3 linked regions of the Coturnix japonica genome follow. The protein of the gene in region 3 interacts with the protein of the main gene of each other region in a pairwise test. Links are inferred from orthologs where the notes say so. Each region holds a gene or a part of one and is shown on either strand. Other genes may lie near its edges.

The links.
Region 1: the proteins of ATPAF2 (region 3) and PKP4 interact in binary tests that used the Homo sapiens proteins (3 or more experiments, as listed by UniProt). The two-hybrid records come from large-scale screens. The link is inferred for Coturnix japonica from reciprocal best matches to the Homo sapiens genes ATPAF2 and PKP4.
Region 2: the proteins of ATPAF2 (region 3) and FSBP interact in binary tests that used the Homo sapiens proteins (3 or more experiments, as listed by UniProt). The two-hybrid records come from large-scale screens. The link is inferred for Coturnix japonica from reciprocal best matches to the Homo sapiens genes ATPAF2 and FSBP.

Annotation. Positions count from the first base shown.
Region 1 is NC_029522.1:33,225,568-33,229,217, forward strand, and holds part of PKP4 (plakophilin-4), read left to right. Parts: intron 1-383; coding exon 384-567; intron 568-931; coding exon 932-1,049; intron 1,050-1,215; coding exon 1,216-1,407; intron 1,408-1,538; coding exon 1,539-1,712; intron 1,713-2,403; coding exon 2,404-2,554; intron 2,555-3,435; coding exon 3,436-3,631; intron 3,632-3,650. UniProt on the Homo sapiens protein: Plays a role as a regulator of Rho activity during cytokinesis. May play a role in junctional plaques.
Region 2 is NC_029517.1:114,239,666-114,243,844, forward strand, and holds the start of FSBP (fibrinogen silencer-binding protein), read right to left. Parts: upstream 2,923-4,179; 5' UTR 1,777-2,922; coding exon 1,406-1,776; intron 1-1,405. UniProt on the Homo sapiens protein: Transcriptional repressor that down-regulates the expression of the fibrinogen gamma chain. Represses transcription of GSK3B gene promoter via its interaction with APBA1.
Region 3 is NC_029529.1:5,009,278-5,012,317, forward strand, and holds the end of ATPAF2 (ATP synthase mitochondrial F1 complex assembly factor 2), read right to left. Parts: intron 2,611-3,040; coding exon 2,530-2,610; intron 2,428-2,529; coding exon 2,315-2,427; intron 1,971-2,314; coding exon 1,855-1,970; intron 1,230-1,854; coding exon 1,092-1,229; 3' UTR 612-1,091; downstream 1-611. UniProt on the Homo sapiens protein: Plays a role in the assembly of the F1 component of the mitochondrial ATP synthase (ATPase).

The sequences.
Region 1 (3,650 bases), on a different chromosome or scaffold from region 3:
TTCAGGGGGAGAAGTGAATCCTGCGGTTACTGCCCCAAGGTTCCGCAGTGCAGTGCCCCTTTAGGGCGTTCTGTGGGGGCTGTCCTCTCACCTTCCTGCTCCTTCCTCAAAGAGCTCGTACCCTGGACAGCCAGCCAGGATGGGGGATGCCAAATACATCAACTTGAATAGGAGAGAATGTTACATCAGGGTGAAGAAAGTCCTATCGTGGCAGCTTTGCTGACTATTTTTGGACTGGAACTGTTAGAGTAATATTAAGTTGCACTGCAAACTAAATGCGTAGGCTAATTCTCTTTCTCCTGTTGAAAGCAAAGTCTGTTAAGTAGCCAGTATTGCTGCATATCTGCTCGCTCTAACGGCCACAATGGAAATCTCTTCTGAAGGGGTTCTCTGGAACTTGTCTTCATGTGATGCGGTGAAGATGACAATCATTAGAGACGCTCTGTCAACGCTGACAAACACTGTGATAGTGCCGCACTCCGGGTGGAACAGTGCCTCCTTTGATGATGATCATAAAATCAAATTTCAGACCTCCCTGGTTCTGCGCAACACGACGGGATGCCTGAGGTAACCTCCTGTTCTGCAGCACCCCACGGGCCCAGCAGCTCCTTCTTACCCTTAATCCTTAAGGCCAAATTGCTGCTGCCTTCCATTTAGTTCTACCATTCAGACAGCTTTCCTATTCATTGGGGTTCTTTTTCTGCATTAGGGATAGGGAGCTAGGAGATATGGTTTAGGGGTTTTCTGTAGGTATGGTGGAGGGGGGACGGTTGGACTAGATGATCTTAAAGGTCCTTTCCAACATTGTGATTCTGTGATTCTGTTTTGTTTGTTAAAACAAAATAATGGAAAGTAATCTGCAAACTGTCCAATAAATGGTGTCTGTCTGTGGGTGGGTGTGCTGCATTCATTTCTCATTTGGACTGTTTAGGAATCTCAGCTCTGCGGGGGAAGAAGCCCGGAAGCAGATGAGGTCCTGCGAAGGGCTGGTTGATTCTCTGCTCTATGTGATCCACACCTGTGTGAACACATCGGATTATGACAGCAAGGTGTGTGCAGTTTCATCTGAGGGGTTCTAGTGCTAACTCGTGTGTCTGATCTGATCTCTTGGGGTTTGTGCTTTAGGATACCTGTTCATCTAATGCTTAATTTGTTTGGTGTTTTCATCACAACACGAGAAAGCAACAAATGACACGACGTCTTTACTGGTTTCAGACAGTGGAGAACTGTGTGTGCACCCTGAGAAATCTTTCCTACCGCTTGGAGCTGGAGGTGCCTCAGGCGCGTCTGCTGGGCATCAATGAGCTGGACGACTTGTTGGGGAAGGAGTCACCCAGCAAAGACTCGGAGCCGAGCTGCTGGGGGAAAAAGAAGAAGAAGAAAAAAAAAACTTCCCAGGAGGACCAGGTCTGCCTTTATTTTTATTACAAATGTTTAAAATGTTTAACTAACAGTGAATATAACTTGAAGAAGAACACCATGAGTTGAATGGAAATACAGAGCTTTGTTGCATTTACAAATACGTATCCTTTTCTCAGTGGGATGGAGTTGGCCCTATCCCAGGATTTTCCAAGTCTCCTAAGGGGGTAGAAATGCTGTGGCACCCGTCGGTGGTGAAGCCGTACCTAACGCTTCTCGCAGAAAGCTCCAACCCAGCCACTCTGGAGGGCTCTGCAGGATCTCTCCAGAATCTTTCTGCAGGCAACTGGAAGGTACCCGACTTTCCTCCTCTTTCTCTCTAGAGCGCGGCATTAGTGCTTCTGTGCTATGAAATGTTATTTCTGCAGTGAAAGGCGATGTCAAACATGGTAGGCAGGGAGAGCGAGCTGGAAACTGTATAGTCAAAATGTACATGTAATAGGCAGTAATCACACTTCATAACATCAGGACCGCAGTATGTAGTATATTGGTTACGAGCATTAAAAAGCTGCATTTGCTCTGTCATTTTCATTTCCATATATTGCTGCTAATGGCTCTCACACACAATGTGTTACAACAGCATTAGGTGAGAATACTTCATTAATGGTATGTATTTGTCACAGGGGGATGGAGAAAATGTTAATTGCTTTCTTTGCTGTAGGAAACCAGATGAGGATGCTTCGTTTTATGCCCCTTTCAAAGTTGACCCTTTTTAAGAAAAGTACTTCTCCTTCTTCAATGATTTGTCACCTATTGGGATGTTTTGTCTGCTAGAACACTTCTTAAAATACTGTGCCATACCGGGAATGGGTGACAAAGAGCAGAGTCAGCCCTTTTTAGTAATGATAAAAGGAACCATTGAACTGTTAACATATCATCTTTGTAAAGATGTCCTCAAAATACTTAGGAATTATCATCTAATGAGAGACAGTTTCAGTCAGAATGCCCCAGTATATCTGCAAGTAACTCGGAGCTCTATTACAGTTTGCAGCGTACATTCGAGCTGCTGTAAGGAAAGAGAAAGGACTGCCGATCCTTGTGGAACTCCTGAGGATGGATAACGATAGAGTCGTTTCGTCTGTGGCAACTGCCTTAAGGAACATGGCGCTGGATGTTCGGAACAAGGAGCTGATTGGTGAGTGCAGAACTGTGAGGAATAACAAATCAGTCTGACCTAATACTGAAAGAGTACAACGTGAGATTCTACCAATAGACACAGCACACTCGATTTTACTGCAGCACATCACTTGTGCCCCAGAAATGAATTTTTTTGACAACAGGAGCTTTTCAGAGTCATTCTGTTGTTCTGGTTTGCCTTCAGCCGTCGTGCATGCCAGTCTTGTCACAGTGGGCTGAAGTGACCTCAGATGAACTGGACAGGAAACTGTCAGCACAAAATATGATGGATAACACAACTCTGCTTCCTTGGAGCTAATAAATGGTCGCCTTCTCAGAGGGCTTCAGGGGCCCTTGTGTACACTAACAGAAGGTGACAGCCCTGCTGCCAGCACACCAGTAAATTCTTTACCATTGGTCAGTGCAGAGCTCTTGGCTTTCAGCGATCGATACTCTGGGGTAAAAGGGTTATTTGACAGAACAGGCACTGTAACAAATAGCAGTGTAAGATGGTGTGTGGAAATGGGTGTGTTTCACTTCCCACTGTGTTTGAAAGGAATTGCTTTTGTGCACAGAATTTATTTTTGAGTAAAATTTTTCCCCAGACACGTTGTGCAAATAGATGGCAAAGGGCTCTGAGGAAGGCTTATTCATCAGGCACCATGACAGACAGATACAAGTCTGCAGCAAAATCAATTAGTAATCAATTAATTGTCAACATGACCTAAACAGTAAAAGAAAAAAAACACTTCAGCTTTACTTGATTTCCTTTGATTGCAGCGCGATTATTCCTCTGTCAGTCAGTAATTGAAACCGAAGGAGATGAGATCTGATCTCTCGTGGGTGACAAACACGGTGAAACGTAAGTTCTGACGTGGTTCTGTTGGTGGGTTGCTACAGGTAAATACGCCATGCGAGATCTGGTGAATCGACTGCCAGGAGGCAATGGCCCAAGCATATTGTCTGATGAGACCGTGGCTGCAATCTGCTGCGCACTGCATGAGGTCACCAGCAAGAACATGGAGAATGCCAAAGCCCTCGCTGACACGGGGGGAATAGAAAAGCTGGTGAACATAACCAAAGGAAGAGGTGACAGGCAAGTGGGCAACAAATTA
Region 2 (4,179 bases), on a different chromosome or scaffold from region 3:
GTTTTTTTTTTTCCTCCTTACAAAAGTTGGTAGTCGAGACACTGCAACCTTTATTAGCGCAATTAAAAGCCTTGTTTTGTTCCAGAGTATTCTTTGGAACTGTTCCTCCAGGGGCATTCACCAGGAGCAGCAGAGCAGCCCAGTTGCTTCAGACTCCTTTACGCCAAGGACCCACAGCAGCATATTTTTAGAGCATCTGCTATGTTGGGATTTAGGCAATTGTTACCATTCAGTTCAACCGGTGGCACCATGAATCGAATTTGTCCTGTGTACTCATGCCAGTTTTTCTTAGAGCATTCAGCTGCTGCACCAACTATCTGTATATCTGATTGAAATATGGGAAGTTCACTTCCCATTAATCCGTTTGTGAAAAGGAGAAAACAATAAAAATAAAAATCGGAGATTTCTCAAGATTTGAGGGGATTTATTTGGCTTTTATCCCTCCTGCCAAGCTCACTTTGTGTATCTGGAGGAACCAGAACCTGACCCAGGCATTTTTGGATCCCTCAAGGACCAATACAGAATCAGCAGAGTGCTGCAAGTCAGATACGAGGGGCATTCGCCAGCTGTGTGAGAAAGCCTGTATGCTGCCTGCCTGTATTATGTCTGGCTTCAGATCTAGACAGTGTGCCTCACTTTACTGAGCAGTAAAAGAAAAAAAGAAAGGAAGGAAGAAAAAAAAAGCCCTACAAAAAAGAAAACTTCTACTGCTGTATCTCTCAGTTCCTCCTCGTGTGCATTTAAGCTGCCCAGCACACAGGACAGAACTGCTTGGAGTTTAGACAGCAATTAGCTCTGCTCCAGTTTCAGAGAATTCCCATCAAGGCAAGGAAAGTAACATTTTTAAAGCACATCTGCACTCCCAAAGTCACTGTGGTGCGGGGGGTACAGGGTTGGTATCAGTTCAAACAATATGCACATCAGAGCAAACGAGAGGCAAAACAAGCTCTCTGAGCAAGGTTTCGTAGCTCTGCAAACTAACTTTATCAAAAATCTTACATAAACCGGTAACAGTTGCATATGTTGCAAAATGACTGCAGTATTGCCTTAAATGGAGGAGAATAGCCATCACTTTGCCAGTGTTTGAATAATCTGCCTATTAAAAAGTAGGGGAGGGGTAGAGGTTGGAGCTACTATTTCTCTTTGATTCTCCCTTAACCCTCACTTTCCGGAGTGTGACAAAGACTGAAACAGGCTTTGAAAGAGCTGAGAGACAAACGCAGTGCTAAGTCACCATAAAGCTGGTCATCAAACAAAAGCAATATGATTTTGTCATTGTTCCCAGCTTTGGGATTTTCCCTCGCAAACACTTCCTTTAGGACACCGAGCACACGAAAAGCGTTACACGGCAGATAGGAGGCGCCATCATTTTCATTCAGCAACGAAATAAAAAGAATTCTCTCACCTTTGTACACCGCTCCTGTCTCTTATACACATCTTGGAAATCTGTGGAATCATCTCCACAACTTTCTTGGTTGGCTCGGAAATGCTGCTTTTACAGTCTGAATGAGTCTCCTTTTGCTGCAATAGCTCCTGCTTGGCATATTCTTTGAGCCTCTTGTACAGCGTGCGCAGGCCCTGTGCGGTGCGAGGCGGGCGATCTACTCCGATGGCATTGTAGTTATCGGCTATGATATCCCAGCACTTGTTTTTTTCCACTATTACGGAATGCTTATTGGTGTGTTCTTCGAGAATTTTAACGTAAGGCTTCACGAGTTTTAGCAAATCGAGCTTTTCAGATAAGGTGAAATTAGAAGATCTGGCCTTCCCGACCATTGTTAGCTCTGAATTAAGGAAGCAGCTCCCGAAGCCACCATGCAGTCCCTAGCTCTGCTCAGCTCTTTTTCACAAACAGAAAAAGATCAGGCTTAACTAGGCTAGTCTCATTTAGGCCCACGCCTACAAGGGAGGGTTTATTAAAATTCCTTCAGCTTAAGCTGACGCAGGTTCAGGAAATCTGCTTAAGCCAAGCCTGACCTACATAAGGCTTCAGACTGAAGAAGACGAGAAGAAACAAGCAAAATACACTTTTGTATGAAGAGACCAGACGCACGCAGGATTTAAAAACATAAAGGTTTAAAGATTAGCACATTACCCAGCTAAAAATTACCTAATTTAGCTTGAGTAACAAGCTCTGACACATAGCTCCGGCTCTCTCACACGTATCTCAAAACTGAAACCGCACTCGAGATTTTTACACGCCACCACGTCCCCGAAAAGCAACAAATTGTTTGGTGCCGTTTATTGACTGTTAAACCGGGCAGGAGGAGAAGCGAGCGCAGCACGTAGCGCAGCGTGTGTAGAGAGCTCCCTAACAGAGCCCCCAGCTCTGGCAGTATTTGCATAATGCTGGTCCTGCTGTCAATCAGCAGTTGCATATCCCCCAGCTAGTTAGGTTACACTCGGGCTTCGCAGCAAAGCTAAGCTTCCCCTGCATTCTGCAGGCTGCTCCTGCTACCTACGCGGAGGCTTCTTAAAGAGGCAGTTTCTATTCCTGGCCGAACGCTTAACAACGGTGAAAAAACACCAAAATCCCGGCGAGAAAACCCCAAACGCCGCCGCGTGAGCCCTGAATCAGCTTTTTATTAGAACTTCAGCCTGCAGCTGTGCCCTGCTAAAACATGCCTGCCTTGTAACGCATGTGTCATCGCCATTCAGGCCGCGGCGGCTGCGAAATGGCATGAGCTAACTCTTGGGCTACATGCAATAAAGGTTACATTCAATCACCGCAGATTTACTGAGTGCGCTGAGGCACGTGGATACAGGGACCAAGAAAGAGGCTGCTTTTATCATAATACTTGTGGGCATTCTCTCGGGATAAAAAATCTGACTCTTATTAATGAGATGCGTGTGAATTTCTCATGTTTGCTCACAAGTCTATCACCTTAAGTCACAGAATCACAGAATCACAGAATGACCCGGGTTGGAAGGGACCTCAAGGATCATGTAGTTCCAACCCCCCTGCCTGGCATAGCCACCAAACATACACATTTACTAGATCAGGTTGCCCAGGGCACCGTCCAACCTGGTCTTGAACACCTCCAAGGACGGGGCATCCACAACCTCCCTGGGCAGCCTGTTCCAGGGCCTAACCACTCTACTAGTGAAGAACTTCCCCCTAACATCCAACCTAAATCTTCCCTGTTTTAACTTAAAACCATTTCCCTGTGTCCTGCTATTGTCAGCCCTTTCAAAGAGTTTACTCCCCACAAGTAGTAAGTAAGTCAAGCCTTAGCACAAAAACGCACCCCAGGCTTTCCATTTTGTGGTCAAAACTAAATTAACGAATCAGAGAAAAAGGGGAGGTGGGAAAAACCATGCATAAGAGGAAAGGTGCTCGTGAAACCCAAAACCTAGTGTGAAAAATGACATACGTCATTGAGAGTCCAGAGGGTGGAAACAAACACAGGCTGAGATAGCAGCAACTGCCTCTCGAGCTTAACATGTTCAGCCTTGAAAACAAGGGAGCCTGGAAGGGGGGTGAGGGCAAGAGGAACCTAATTATAGTCTGAAATATCTGAAGGCAATAAAGATCTGGGTATAAACTTGCTTGCTCTAAGGGGGAGAAAAGCCAAAGCAGATGCAAGATGCATTCAGAATAAAAAAAAAAAAAAAAACCTTCAATTAAACAAAAGGAGACTTCAGCTGCTACAGATCAACCAGCAGTTAGAACAAGAAGCATGTTTGGAACAAATGGTGACACCTCACCCAAACCACCTCGTGTTTGAGACCTGTCTGCTTTGCTGGCACTGCTTTCAAGCCAACAACAAATCAAGCATTTTATAGTCTGCAGCCCATTGCAGCAGTTTTGAGAAACAAAATACTCGTGTGGTTAGAAGCACTGTATGAAAACCAGTACTTTTAAACCCCTAATCCTTCCCTATTTCCCCACACTTTGCTATTTACTACAATGAAGAGCTGGATGCTGGTGGTTATTATTATTTTTATTGTACTTGGTTGCTCTTTAGTATGTACAAGAAATAAAAACCAAACTGGATTATGCCCGAGGAACTTCAGGCTGCTGGCAGTGTTGGAATCGAGGAGTCACAAGAGAGCCCACACTGTGCCCTCATATGTTGGAGCAGCTGCGCACTGCCTGATCTCATGACTTTAGTGACAAAAGGAAACAGTGTTTGGTTGTGTGATTGAAGGCTCCTCCCCACAAACACAGAACAGCAC
Region 3 (3,040 bases):
AGCAGCTTTCTGCAGCGTGAGCAGAGCAGCCCCCAGCTAGCAGGAAGGGAAATCAATGGTTCCACAGGAACTCACACACTGCCGCTCGCAACAGCCAAGCGAGGAGTCATTAATTCCCCTCCTTGCTCAGTGACAGCAGCTGCTGCACTCACTTGTGGGCAGCTTCTGAGGAATGATGCTGGCCAGGGCGGTACTGCTAGAGGCAAGCAGCAAGGAGAAAGGTGGGAAGGTTAAATGAAAGGGTGGCTGCATATGCACTCTGGGGAGAGACCTGGTCTCGTGAAAGCCCTTCAGCTGGTGCTGCCTGATGTACAGATTTAGCTCCAAGTGCCTTATGCTTTTGGAAATGGCTGTGGGAGGTTTCCCCCTCCCTGCTTGTTCCAACACTGCACAGTCAGCTCCCTGCTGCTCCTTGGCTGCTGGGACAGGACACCTCGTACAGAGAGACTCACACAGACACACAGAGAGAGCTAATCTATCTGCCTTCTAGTGTCTGCTCAGCTCTGCTCCACGACTTTCTGCCTTCAGCCATTCCCACACCTGCGTAGAGCCGAGCAGCTCAGGATCTACACCATGGTTTGACAATTAAAACAAAGAAATACTCAGCAGCATTAGCTTTCAGTATCTTGAAGAGGCGTGCCTTTAATCAAACAGAGAGACCCTGGTGTTACATACAGGCACACTGAGGGATGAAGAACAGATGCAACGGAGTCTGTTTTCAGATTTCCATAACAAGTGTGTGTCAGGAGCTGGCAGCTATGAAGACATGTGGCATATGCTAGGTGTGTCTGTGCCGTGCCCTGCCCAGGAAGCTGTTTCTTTCAAGGGAGCTCCTCTGATGAATTACAGACACTGGTAATGGACAGCGCTGCTTCCTTGAATATGCAGAGGGAGCTCACCTTGACCTTTCCTCCTCGTGGGCTCAAAACTGCTGGCGCTGCACTGCAGCAAGGAGCTGCCCACAAAGCTGCAGTTCCTCAGCACAAGCCTGATCCCAGACAAGCTGTGGTGGCAGGATGGTTGTTACCCTCTCCAGGTCACGGCAGCAATTCACAGCAGGGCATCTTCCTCCTCCACCCAGTCCTGCAGCCTTAGTCCTGCAACAGCTTGTGTTTGACAGTTGAGCTCTCTGAGCAGAGATGAACAAAGAGAGTCCCAGCTGCTGCACGAGCACGCAGCTCACACAGATCATAGTCATGGGCCCACTCCACATTGCCCCACCGCTGAATCTGGAGGAGGAACACAAGTCAGTTCAGAAGTGGATTACACTCAGAGCTGCTAGGCAACTCAGCCTCCTTTCTCATGTCTGTGAAACACAGGCAGCCCTCCAGGAGCTGTGCTGACTGCACACTACTAGGGTAGGGAGATCTCTGGATGAATACGGTGGAAGGACATGATTCCTCTGTACTGAGCTCTGAGGCAAAAACCCCTTAAAGGGAGGATGAAAATACTCTCATCAGTTTCAGCCATTTTAGGTCAGGGAGAGCTTCACACCAGGCCAGATTTCAGCTTTTGCTCTCAGAGGAAACAATTTAATAATAGTTTGGTGTCCAGCAAGGCCTCCAGCCTGGAAAACCCACAGCAAGAGAAGCCATCCATGGCTTTGCACTTCAGATTAGAGAGGGAGAAAAGCAGCCACCTGGGTTCTGCAAAACAAAACTGGCAGCCCCAAGAGCACCCTGGGCTGTTGCATCTATCATGTTGCTCTACAGCAGCGTGCTCCGGACTGGTGGAGTGGAACCTCTCCTGTAATAGCAGGCACTTCCCCTGCCAGTTATTTGTGGTGGGGGGTGCATTTGTCATGCTGAGATTATTGCTATTTGAATTATGGGGTTGCTCTGTAACATAATTTACCTGGTATTCTTCCTCCAGCCGAGACAGAAGCACGGCTTTCTCTACTGTAATGTGCCTGTCAATCAGGCCCATGGACAGAATCAGAGATTTCAGCTGGGTGATTACATATTCTATACCTGGAAGGGAAAAATCCAAAACAAACAATATTCATGGTCGTTTTCCACAGCATTACAGCAGCATCCTCCCATGCTTGGAAAGGACAATCAGGCTGTGGTCCCCCCTCAGGCAGATCACAGTGATGCCTCCCCACTCCCATCTGGGCTCCTAACAGCCAGACATGCAATTAACGGCACAATAGTGCTCTCCTGACCACCATCACTGCAATGACCTCAATGCTCTGATCATCTCAGCATATCAGCAGGGGGGGAAAAACGTTACAGTCTCTCCCCTCTCCCATGGAGAGGAGCTCTCCTGCCCTTGTGCAGCCCACACAGAGGGCTCCTGCAGCCCAGCCTCTCACCTTGCAGAGCCCACATGTTGTAGGAGGCCAGGTGGCTGATGAAGGTGTCCCTGGTGCTGGCTGGGATGTTTGGTCCCATGATGCTGGTAGAGGATCCGATTGCCACGTTGTACCTGACATGATCACATGGCCCCTTAGAAAAGCTTGTGGATCTTGCAGCTCTGAGTCACGAGCACTACAGCTATGGGCCTTTAGAAACAGCTTTAAACTCTCACCTTTTCTCAGCCCAGGCAACAATAGGATCCCATTCTTTCTTCTGCAGCTCTGCCAAGGCAACTGGCTCCTCCACACGATAGCTGGGACATTGCACAACAAAGCCATGTGGGTGTTCACACACAAGCTGTCAGACTGCTCCCAGCCAGACTGCAGCACTCCTGAGAAGAAAGTCTGTGCCCTCCGTAGACCACAGTATGGGGAGCATAGACCTCTTGTTCACCCTACCTGCAACAGCTGGGACTGGGAATAATCTCTCCATTCAAAGCTTTTTATTGTTCTAGAAAGGACAGTTCTATGCAGCTATATAACAGGGCTACAATCTACAACAGAAGACTGCAGATTACCTGAAACCAGCCAAGGGATGCAGCAAGATTTAGTGATCCATGGGACAAATCCCACAGGGCCCTTCCTGCTGCCTTGCACGCCCAGTGGCTCAGCTTAGCACTCACCAGCCACCGCCCTGCCCAGCCCAACACAAACAAAGCCACAAAAAGTGAGGTGAATCTGGTT